Arabidopsis thaliana: one gene and its partners. The protein of the gene in region 1 interacts with the protein of each later gene in a pairwise test. Each region holds a gene or a part of one and is shown on either strand. Other genes may lie near its edges.

Evidence for each region.
Region 2: the proteins of LOV1 (region 1) and AT3G53310 interact in a two-hybrid assay, tested with the Arabidopsis thaliana proteins (one large-scale study listed by BioGRID).
Region 3: the proteins of LOV1 (region 1) and ERF1 interact in a two-hybrid assay, tested with the Arabidopsis thaliana proteins (one large-scale study listed by BioGRID).

Annotation. Positions count from the first base shown.
Region 1 is NC_003071.7:645,488-649,247, forward strand, and holds the start of LOV1 (NAC domain containing protein 35), read left to right. Parts: upstream 1-2,050; 5' UTR 2,051-2,517; coding exon of another isoform or gene 2,518-2,556; coding exon 2,557-2,848; intron 2,849-2,990; exon of another isoform or gene 2,991-3,178; coding exon 3,179-3,447; intron 3,448-3,760. Other genes in the region: AT2G02455 (uncharacterized protein), read right to left, coding at 2,518-2,730. UniProt on the Arabidopsis thaliana protein: Transcription factor that acts as a floral repressor. Controls flowering time by negatively regulating CONSTANS (CO) expression in a GIGANTEA (GI)-independent manner.
Region 2 is NC_003074.8:19,767,065-19,770,824, forward strand, and holds the start of AT3G53310 (AP2/B3-like transcriptional factor family protein), read right to left. Parts: upstream 1,723-3,760; 5' UTR 1,305-1,722; coding exon 1,233-1,304; intron 833-1,232; coding exon 379-832; intron 296-378; coding exon 216-295; intron 118-215; coding exon 1-117. Other genes in the region: AT3G53320 (mediator of RNA polymerase II transcription subunit-like protein), read right to left, coding at 2,333-2,521, 2,670-3,301, 3,383-3,530.
Region 3 is NC_003074.8:8,293,602-8,297,249, forward strand, and holds ERF1 (ethylene response factor 1), read left to right. Parts: upstream 1-2,015; 5' UTR 2,016-2,103; coding exon 2,104-2,760; 3' UTR 2,761-3,003; downstream 3,004-3,648.

The DNA of each region.
Region 1 (3,760 bases):
ATAGAAATATATGTTCTTTTCGAATTAAAATTAAAAGGTCTTAATTTTTTACAATTGCAAAAACTTTAAACTGAAAAAATGATTTAATCTTCTGGAATGTACATTATATAATATCCGCCACCCTACTTGCTACCCCTAGCTAAAAGCCAAACCGATGGAAGACTCGCTTGCATTAAATTATGCACTAGCTTAATCTACTTTTAAACTCTCTTATAATACATTTAATTCCTAATTTCTATCGCCATTTTATATTTTTACTGATATCAATATTCGAAGGGTCCATGCCTATGATTCCATGTCATACATAATATTTCCTTTCATACCTACATTCATTTTAATGAAAACCTTAAATATATATCCAAAAGCTATACATTTATGTAAACTAAACTGGTATAATAATTTTTGAAATATGTGTATGTCTACTGATTTACTATTTGATTAGTTCGTAGTAAATATATTATAAATTGTTTAAACATAAAAACAAAAAAAATCATGTAACTAGATAATTTTCTTGACGAAGATTCGAATTAACAACACAAAAAAGTTCATTTTCTGATATCGCAATGGTCTAATTAATGGTTGTTGAATAGTTTATCTTTTCCACGTTTCATAAGCTTTTTTGGTACGCGACATCCATATTGAAAAATGTCTGTCTACACTGAGCTCAATCCAATGAAATTTGTTGTGAATGAGATATATGCATTCACGGATTTCTAAAAAATATGAAGTCCATGACATCCATTGAAACATTTGACAAAATAAAAATATAAAATATGAAGTCATTACAACGTAGAGTAAGGTTTCTAAAAACCCCACTCTCGTTTCGTAGAAGCCCCACTACCACCTCACTTTAATTTCATTCATTATCTCATTTACGTTGATACTTTAAATTCATTTTTCCATATAAACTTGTAAGTATGAAATTTGTACTTAGTATATATTTTATCTATCTTTCCATGATGAACTTAAATATATTACAGTTTGCCTAGCCTTTTTAGCTCAGCTATATATATATATATATATGCTAATGTTGTTACGATGTTTATTGTTTTGTGTCTATATCTTATTTACTTTTTTGAATTATTAATAAAATGGAACAATTATACATATAGATTATAGATACATATATCTAAATATAATATATTGTATCTATATATATTAATACAAATTTTAAAGAACTGGCGGGTTTCTAAATTCTAACATATGTACTGTAAGTTCAGCTTCTTACTAAGTCATAGGAACATGGAGAGCGTTGGCAAAATCATGGTCAGTTTGTTTTGCATTCATAATTGAAGACATAGTAGTATCATGCAATGAAGATATGGTGGGCCAAATATATCATAAAAAAAATAGCGAAACAATAAGAGAACGTTCGTGAAGCTGAAGCATATGAAAAACACGTAAATATATTTATGACGAGTGACATAGTAAGCATACGTGATATTATTATTTAATTAGTAATATAGGCCACCAATCAGAATTCTTTGTCTCAACGATGAATAAATTAACTATAATAATCCAAATTTTTAACATTGTTTTAAGAATATCCGTTATTCAATTAGTCTACCTATAACAATGAATTATTATGGATCCTTTATCGCTATGCCTTGATCAGGAGAATTAGATTAGTTACACTTTCGCAATTTTTGTAGCGATGGATTGGAACAAAAACCAAAACAAAATATAGACTATTTACACATAAATTATACATGAAATCAACTTAATTTGTTATTCTCTAAAGTTTAGATTGTCTTTATAAAATACCAATCATATACCTAACTAAAACTAATGAATCTTTAACGTGCATGAGATGGTGCATGTGCAAATAAAACTATAAAGAAAACCATGATATATTTTTTCTAAGAATGATAGTTTTTGGGAATTTTAGACTTTCGGTCTATATTTTTCGTATGTCCACACCAATTGTTGATATTGCATTTAAAACATTAATTATTATTTTTTCCAAGTATAATTGAACTAGTAACCATGAGGTCCATGACATCCATTTGAAAGATGTCAATTCGTAATATTGTTTCAAAATATTTTTTCGTTTATAATACATAAACTTTAATTTTTCCTGTAAAAGATATCAACTGTTCTTTTCATTTGTGTTACAACCCAATAATTATTAAATATTTGAAACTTTAGTATTTAGAAAAAATACATAAAACTAATAGATAGATATTTTATTTTATTTTGAAACAAAAAGCTAGAAATGGAGAGTGAGAGAAAGGTCCAAAGGCACGGCTAAGAAAACAAAACCGTGGACACCCTGTCCTCAATTTGACAAGTCTTTGTCTCCTCCTTAACTCTCTTCTTCTCTCTCTTTGTCTTATTCTAGTTTGGTCTCAACTCCCAAAAACGATGACGTTTCATTCCTATATAGTCGTCCTCTCTTCTTCTTCTCCTCCTCTTATCTCTACTCAACACCACTCAATTTCATCTCTCTTTTTCCCTTCCATTGTTAGTATAAAAACCAAGCAAACCCTTAATCACTTTTCATCATCATATATCACCTTAATCCACATGCATACACATATCTAGTCTTTTTGATATATGGCAATTGTATCCTCCACAACAAGCATCATTCCCATGAGTAACCAAGTCAACAATAACGAAAAAGGTATAGAAGACAATGATCATAGAGGCGGCCAAGAGAGTCATGTCCAAAATGAAGATGAAGCTGATGATCATGATCATGACATGGTCATGCCCGGATTTAGATTCCATCCTACCGAAGAAGAACTCATAGAGTTTTACCTTCGCCGAAAAGTTGAAGGCAAACGCTTTAATGTAGAACTCATCACTTTCCTCGATCTTTATCGCTATGATCCTTGGGAACTTCCTGGTAAATATACATTCACATAAACACACATAAATCATCTCAAACTATTTGGAAATCTTAATTTCTATTCATATGTTAAGATCTTTCTTCTCTCTTATCACTTTCTCTCTCTATTTCTTTTTTTTTAACCTATATATGTACCTACCTCCTTATGAAGTATTACTATGTCGATCGTTAACAATTCTCAATATCTTTAAACGCTTCTCCCTCTTTAGTTTCTTTCTTAAATTAACCTAATTAAACAACCTACATATATATCATAAGATATACAAATATGTGTATGTTTTCATAATTAGCTTATGTATGTTTAATCATAGATATATGTATATGCAGCTATGGCGGCGATAGGAGAGAAAGAGTGGTACTTCTATGTGCCAAGAGATCGGAAATATAGAAATGGAGATAGACCGAACCGAGTAACGACTTCAGGATATTGGAAAGCCACCGGAGCTGATAGGATGATCAGATCGGAGACTTCTCGGCCTATCGGATTAAAGAAAACCCTAGTTTTCTACTCTGGTAAAGCCCCTAAAGGCACTCGTACTAGTTGGATCATGAACGAGTATCGTCTTCCGCACCATGAAACCGAGAAGTACCAAAAGGTATAAATTCTACTATAACTCTATATATATCCTATTCATACATACATAGATATAACCCTAGCTAGGTGGTGAGGCCTTTAAAATTGAAATTAATCCCTAGACAGTTTGAATTTTTTCTTTTTTGACTAGTTTTATTTATTTATTTTGGAATTGATTCGATAAGATCAAAAATACTTGTGAATGGACTAAATGTCAGGCGGCGTTTGCGCTTAAATCCAGAAAAATGTTCATGTCATATGCGTGAACTCTTTAAATTGCTAGACATGGCCCATATGTTATAGTAGAATACATTAATAGATAGATGCATACACAT
Region 2 (3,760 bases), on another chromosome or scaffold:
AACCCTCTTATCAGCCCATTTTCCTCTTAGCCCTACTAAGGTTCCTTCTCCATCGATGTACTTGATGGATGAACCAAATTCAAGGTTATTATCCTTCACCACATTGGCTGGGATCAACTACACACAAAACAAAATCACCGCAACATGTTAAAGCCATACTGAAAGTAAAACAGAGATAGTAACTGAATCTGAAGTCTTATATTCGTCACTTTTACCAGTTCATAAATCCTGTTCTTGAGCGTAGTCGGAAAGTGTGGATTAGTTAAAGCTTCCACGTCCAAGTTCCCTTCAAAAACTGAAACAAAACAATCTTTAGTATATTAGATTGTGTTTTTGGATTAACAATGTTTATGTACTTTTGAAAAAAGACTATCAAACCTGCAGCATCGGTTGCAGTCTCTTCGTCAATCGGATAAAGACTCTGGCTGATTTCTTCATCTTCATCAAAGCTACCATCATCATCTTCATCTTCATCTTCATCTTCATCATCATCATCTTCAACAACATCAGTTGAGTCTTTTTCGTCTTCCACAACAGAATCAGAATCAGAATCAGAAAGTGGTATGGCTTGTATTTCAGCTCTGACCTCTTTGCTACCCCAACGATCAAAGACACTCACTTCAAAGGTACGATGACCATCATACACAAATGTCATGAACTCTCCGTTCTTCAGCTCATGTTCCTCTGCGAATTTTGGCCATCCTCTAGTAAGATACGCAGCTCCGCTTATTTTCTTCAAGCTCACAGTCCAAAGTTTTCCTCCAAGACCTTGGAGCTTCACTGTCTTTGGCAATGGATCAGCAAGAAATGCCATAAAAGGCAACGGAATCATCTGATGAACCAAACACAAATGTCAAACATCAGATTACTTGTTACAACTTAAAACAAAACTCAACTCAACTCCACAAGTAAAATGTCATCAAAGTCATAGAGTCTCTCTGTTTCAAGCTAAGCAGTCACAGTTTTGACCTATGCTTTATTGAACGAGATACAAAGACACAGATCCAGAGTTTTTCATCACTTCCAATTTCACAGCTCGTTTTCTCATTTCCGTTTAGAAGCAGAAGAAAGATTGAAAACCCGTAAACCCAACCCCAACTGCTAAACTAGCTAAAGATTATATCTTTCTCATAAAGCCATAACTTTCATACTAATACTTGAGATTCAAAGTCTGAAACTTTTCCTACTACAGAAACAAGGAAGAAGAAAGAAAGAGAGAGAGAGGTTCTTACCAACGATTCAGAAGCCGATTCAACGAGGAACACTTTGAAGAAACGAGGATACAATTCGCTATCGTCAGCCATGGAATGATGTTGGAAACGAGAGAGAGAGAGAGAATCGAAATGGGTTTCTTAGCTAGTGAGAGGAAGATAACGTTGAAGGTTCAGAGTTTAAAGGAGAAAGAGAGAGAGAAATGAGTCAAAGAAGACCTCTGCTGCGTTCTTGTACAAAACAGAGTACTGTACTATCTCAAAGCTTTATGATTTTTGCAGTTTAACCCATAAATTCTAGTAAAAAAGAAAAGAGAAGCTGATTTCTAATTGGTGCTTGACTTCTGAAACTTGTTTTCGATCGGTACTTACGAATCAGAGACTATTTCCATCTCTTTCCTCTGTTTTTTGTTTTTTCATTTCTTTTTTTTCTTCCTCATTTTCATCTTCGTTTAACAAAAATAACTCTTATCGTTGTTAAATTGACAAAAAACAATAAACCAAAATGTTATTCAAGACCTCTTTAAGTTTTTAAAGTGAAGCTAATATTTTCAAACGTTTACAAATGCTTTTTAGATAAATAATTATTTATCTAACAAACACACAAATACTCTTGCATCTATACAAATGACACAGAAAATGCATGCATGTGAGGAATTCAATATTCTAATACAGTAAATAAGAGAAATAATTATCAAAAAGAAAAACGAAGTTTGCGTGTTCTTCTGTTTATAGATTTGAATGAAACATCATTCTCTGCAAGCCAGGGATTGGTTCTGTTTTCTATGGTGAGATTGTAGCCCACTCTATCCACTGTTGCGTTCATATATCTTTCACTTCATGTTCTTATTATATACTTCATTGGACTGTTTTGTTTTCAGATTTAAACCATTTACATTTCGATTAGAAAGAGTATCTTATAAACCAGATTAATTCGTAAAATTTCATAATACAAGAACTCGTTAGATTAAAGATTCTTTACGCACAAATTTATAATGTGCTTCCTTTTTCTGGAGGATGGGATACATAAGAATCTAACATGCAGAGAAATTCCTATTTGTAAAAAAGAAAGCTCCATTGCATGGAGAAAACTATTGATAACTTCAAGCATCTCATTCTCATCATCCCTCAAGTTGATCTTCTGCATCGATTTTGGAATACAATTTGTTCGGCAGTTTAGGAGACGAGACAGAGACAACCTTTGAACTTGCCTTACTTTTTGAATTCGTCGACTCTTGTATTGGAGACCTCGCAGGTTGAGTCTTTCCTCCAGACTTCTTACTGGCAGATGAAGATGATCCATGTCTTGCCTGTTTAACAAAGAGAGAAAGAAATAGAGACATCATTTACTTGATCAGATTCCAGACAGAAACAGATCTTGTGCCAGTTGGTTCCAATCTCAAGGAACAACAATTGCATATTTGGTCTCTAGTTTGTTCATGAATTTTGGGGACTTACTCCATCAAAGAAGCCGATTTTTGGTGATGGCACACGGAGACCTGATGGTTTTGCGGAAGCTGAAGGAACCAAACCACCGTTGATAGCTGAAACTCGTTTTGTGCCTTCCTTAGCATCAGCTTGGACAACAGATGTATCTTTGGAGTTCTTGAGAGGTTTCACAGTTTGTACTGTATTATCATTTGCAGGAACCTTTTCACGAGAGACTGTTTTCTGGTTACCATTAGCCATTTTACTAGTTTCAGAAGCTCGTGATGACTCTGATGAATAGTCACTGATCGAACCAGCAGTTGGTACACTGGAGGAAAGCTTGGGCTTGGATGTCTTATTGGTTTGTTGGGGTGGGATTCTTGGCTGGCCCATAATACCTCTAGATGTAGATCGATTTGCCAATGGCTGGGAAGATAATCTGGAACTTGAATCATTCTTCTTCTTTATCGAATCTATAGAAGGTTTGTGAGAAGCGCTAGATGAAGCACTGGCACAGCTCTCTAGTGAAGAACATGAAGAGGTCATTTCATTCTTTGAGGCATCTGAAGAACGTGAAGAAGACTTAAAAGGCACACCAGGTTTTGGTAAGACGGGTTTAGCACGTCGCGACATGGATATTCTTGGACCCAGAGGCTCTTTACCTGTACTATTCAAGGTCATACAATATATTTCAATTTTAAAAAAACAAGTGTAAACTTCTTTAAGAACAAGTTCTGACTAACCCGCAGGTAATTTGGAATTCTTTTCTTGTTGCGTTTTGCTTATATCTAATGATGACCTGTTCGTCGATGTTGTTGACAAGGGCCTGACTTTGCTGAGTCCGTTGGGTGGCTTGGAAATGGATGTACTGAGACCTCTTGTAGCAACAGGCTGCAGAAAATATTTTATTTTTTTACAATATCCAATATATTCATTATGTGGTTCACTATAGGGTAAGCTATTAAAAGTGATGACACGCTTCTGATTCATAGATTCAACAGAGCCAATTCAATTTTATTAGTCCAGCTCATTACCAATGGAAACCTAGGAAAAAACCATTATTCTAGTTATGAAAGACTAAGAAACAAGCCCATTTAATAAATATGCACCTGAGAAACTGA
Region 3 (3,648 bases), on another chromosome or scaffold:
AAGCAATTATTCTTGGGTTACTTTTCTGATGTCAATATTGAAATCAATTAATTTATTCATTTTCGGTACGTGTAAGAAGTTTAAAGTATTTTACCACAAAAAAATGAAGTTTAAAGTAAAGCCAAAAGAGATACAATGTCCAGGTTTGAAGTTTAAAATAGAGCCAAAAACTTTGAACACGTGCGGGATATCAAATAATCAGTTATGCATAGTTTTGGATGGGCTTAAGAAAGAATAAATAATTTTGTGTCCTACTGGACTCAGGATGCATGTGATGATGTGTAGTGTTCTAATAGAATTTAGTTGCGTATCCGTTCGAATAATTATTTTCAACACCTCCTACTTTTGTTACATTGTTTTAAATGACTATTGACAAAATAAAAGTAAATGTAAATAACTAAAACAGAAAAGATGTGAGAAAAACTAGGAAATTCTTTTTTTTGAAGAATTATTAAATTTGCTAGATTTGGATAATCGATTCAACATTTGGAAAAGAAAAAAAATATCTAAGGATGGTTGAAAGATAGTTTATGATCAAACTAGCCAGGATTTTAGAGGGGTCATCAGTTTTCTGAACATTTATATGTTGTTTTCCGATAATACTATAAATTTGATCAACTAATTAGATGACTTAAAATAATGTAATTGGGATAATGTTTAAGAAAATATTAGGTAACTCATATAATTTAAGAGTTATAATTTGGTTATAATTTGCACCAAATTTGAAATATATTTCTACTATAAGATAACTAGAAATAGTGAAGAAAAAAACAAAGGAAACTAGAAAAAATGAAAAAATGGCACATGAAGTATCTTTTTTGTTTGAGAAAGAAGTTGAAAGCAGATAAAGCCAAATTATCTTCTAAACATGAGATGGCTCGAAATTATTTGTTGTTTGGGATTCAAGGGGGCATGTATCTTGAATCCTTCCAACCAACAATTTTCTTTAACCATGCTTTTGGCCAAAAGATTTTCTTTAATAATAATTAATAATAGCTTCCTAAGATTATAGGATAATGATTTGATATTTTATGTAATCATATTTGCAATACCTAAGCATGAAAATGTTTTGTTGAGTTGATCCAGCAGTTATTTTGGAATATGGCTTAATCATTTTCACATCGATCTTGTTATTTCTGTTCGTGAAATGTGAACTTTCGCAGTTATTTGTTTTATTCATAAGTTGTTTTAGATCAAATAAGTGGAGTCCACTTAGAAATTATAAGATGGGAATTTTATTTGCATATCAAAATTATCTATAAAAATTTTAGTCAACTGATTTTTAGTTTTCTACTAAAATCGCCATCTTATTTTCTTCTAGATTCAATTTGATCTGAATGTGGCATGTAGGTTGATAAAACTTATCAAATAGCATCAAATCAGTATTTTCTAAAACTTTTTACATCATCATAAATCTTTCACTTATAAAATATAATATCTTGGGTACACCAAAGTAATCCTGATATATACTACAAAATATAACATTTTAGTTGTTTTCATATGTGGTTAATCTTTTTTAGGTCGTACATGATTCATAAACCTTACCGTCATAAAAAGAAAAATAAATTATATTTAAACTAAGAAATGTGATATGATGCAAAAGTGACAAAATTTCGATGAATCATGTGATGATAATACGAAATGATATACCTAACCTACACTGCTCATTCTACATTTGAAGAATATATACCTAAATATACATACCAATTCTGGGATAATTACATAATATACAGTTTCATATTAGTCTCACGTAATTACGATTCACGACAGTAAGAAGATTAGTTTAAACGGTACAAAACAATTCATATATTACGAAAACATTAAATATCACACGAAGAGAAGAAATATGCAAAACGTCTTTGCTCGAATCTTCGACGAAGCAACATAGTTTTTCATTTGAGTGTAACATTATTTTTCGTAAATTCCCATTTCACCCTTTTATTACATGACATTTGTCTTTCACTGAGACAGTAAAAACTCAAGTCTAATTTGGACATTTGCATATACATACTCATTTTTTTCTCTATATATATAGACCATGTCAATCCACTAACGATCCCTAACCGAAAACAGAGTAGTCAAGAAACAGAGTATTTTTTCTACATGGATCCATTTTTAATTCAGTCCCCATTCTCCGGCTTCTCACCGGAATATTCTATCGGATCTTCTCCAGATTCTTTCTCATCCTCTTCTTCTAACAATTACTCTCTTCCCTTCAACGAGAACGACTCAGAGGAAATGTTTCTCTACGGTCTAATCGAGCAGTCCACGCAACAAACCTATATTGACTCGGATAGTCAAGACCTTCCGATCAAATCCGTAAGCTCAAGAAAGTCAGAGAAGTCTTACAGAGGCGTAAGACGACGGCCATGGGGGAAATTCGCGGCGGAGATAAGAGATTCGACTAGAAACGGTATTAGGGTTTGGCTCGGGACGTTCGAAAGCGCGGAAGAGGCGGCTTTAGCCTACGATCAAGCTGCTTTCTCGATGAGAGGGTCCTCGGCGATTCTCAATTTTTCGGCGGAGAGAGTTCAAGAGTCGCTTTCGGAGATTAAATATACCTACGAGGATGGTTGTTCTCCGGTTGTGGCGTTGAAGAGGAAACACTCGATGAGACGGAGAATGACCAATAAGAAGACGAAAGATAGTGACTTTGATCACCGCTCCGTGAAGTTAGATAATGTAGTTGTCTTTGAGGATTTGGGAGAACAGTACCTTGAGGAGCTTTTGGGGTCTTCTGAAAATAGTGGGACTTGGTGAAAGATTAGGATTTGTATTAGGGACCTTAAGTTTGAAGTGGTTGATTAATTTTAACCCTAATATGTTTTTTGTTTGCTTAAATATTTGATTCTATTGAGAAACATCGAAAACAGTTTGTATGTATTTTTGTGATACTTGACTTTATCAATTTCAAGTTAGTGTAAAAGTCTTTGTCTCTTACTATTCAACTAGTAAGAAAACTCTCATTTTTCTTATTTATCGTAATGAGGATTGTCTTTAAGCATGTGCTATTAGAGTATTCAAACATGTTTTAAGTTAACATAATAATTTTTTTGCACAAAGCCTACAAATAGTGTAAGATGGTCATAATCAATTGCTCATAACAATATACAAAGACAGTTCTTTTTATTGTTCTGTAATATATGAGTCCATGAGTATTGAGGAGCGACTCTATATAGTAGTATAATTTATTTTTGTTAATCATTAATTAGGAGCCACCTAAATGGCTAACTATAATAATGGAGTATAAGTTAAAGTGTTTTAATTTTGTTTCAAATAGACCACAACTGAAAAAGATGGTCAGGTAGTGTAATGAAAATCTTGACTTCTTTCGGATTAGGTGGCAACTTCTAGAATTTTTGTGCTATTTTACATATATTTTTAATTCATGATTTAAAGTAGCTATGGATTTTCTTGTGACTTTCTAAGGGAATTATCTAAGAATAATTGAATAAAAAAGATTTAAATATGCAGAAACTTGAACTTTTTTTTTGCAATGAGATGCATCTGTAACTAGAACTTTTGTCCGATAAAACGTTTTAGGTAAAAAAAGTAGTCACATAATCACATTATTGTTTTGGTAGTTGAGGTCACCAGAACGATCTGTCATAACTTTTGGGTTTGCTTGCGTATGGGTCATGACCAAGT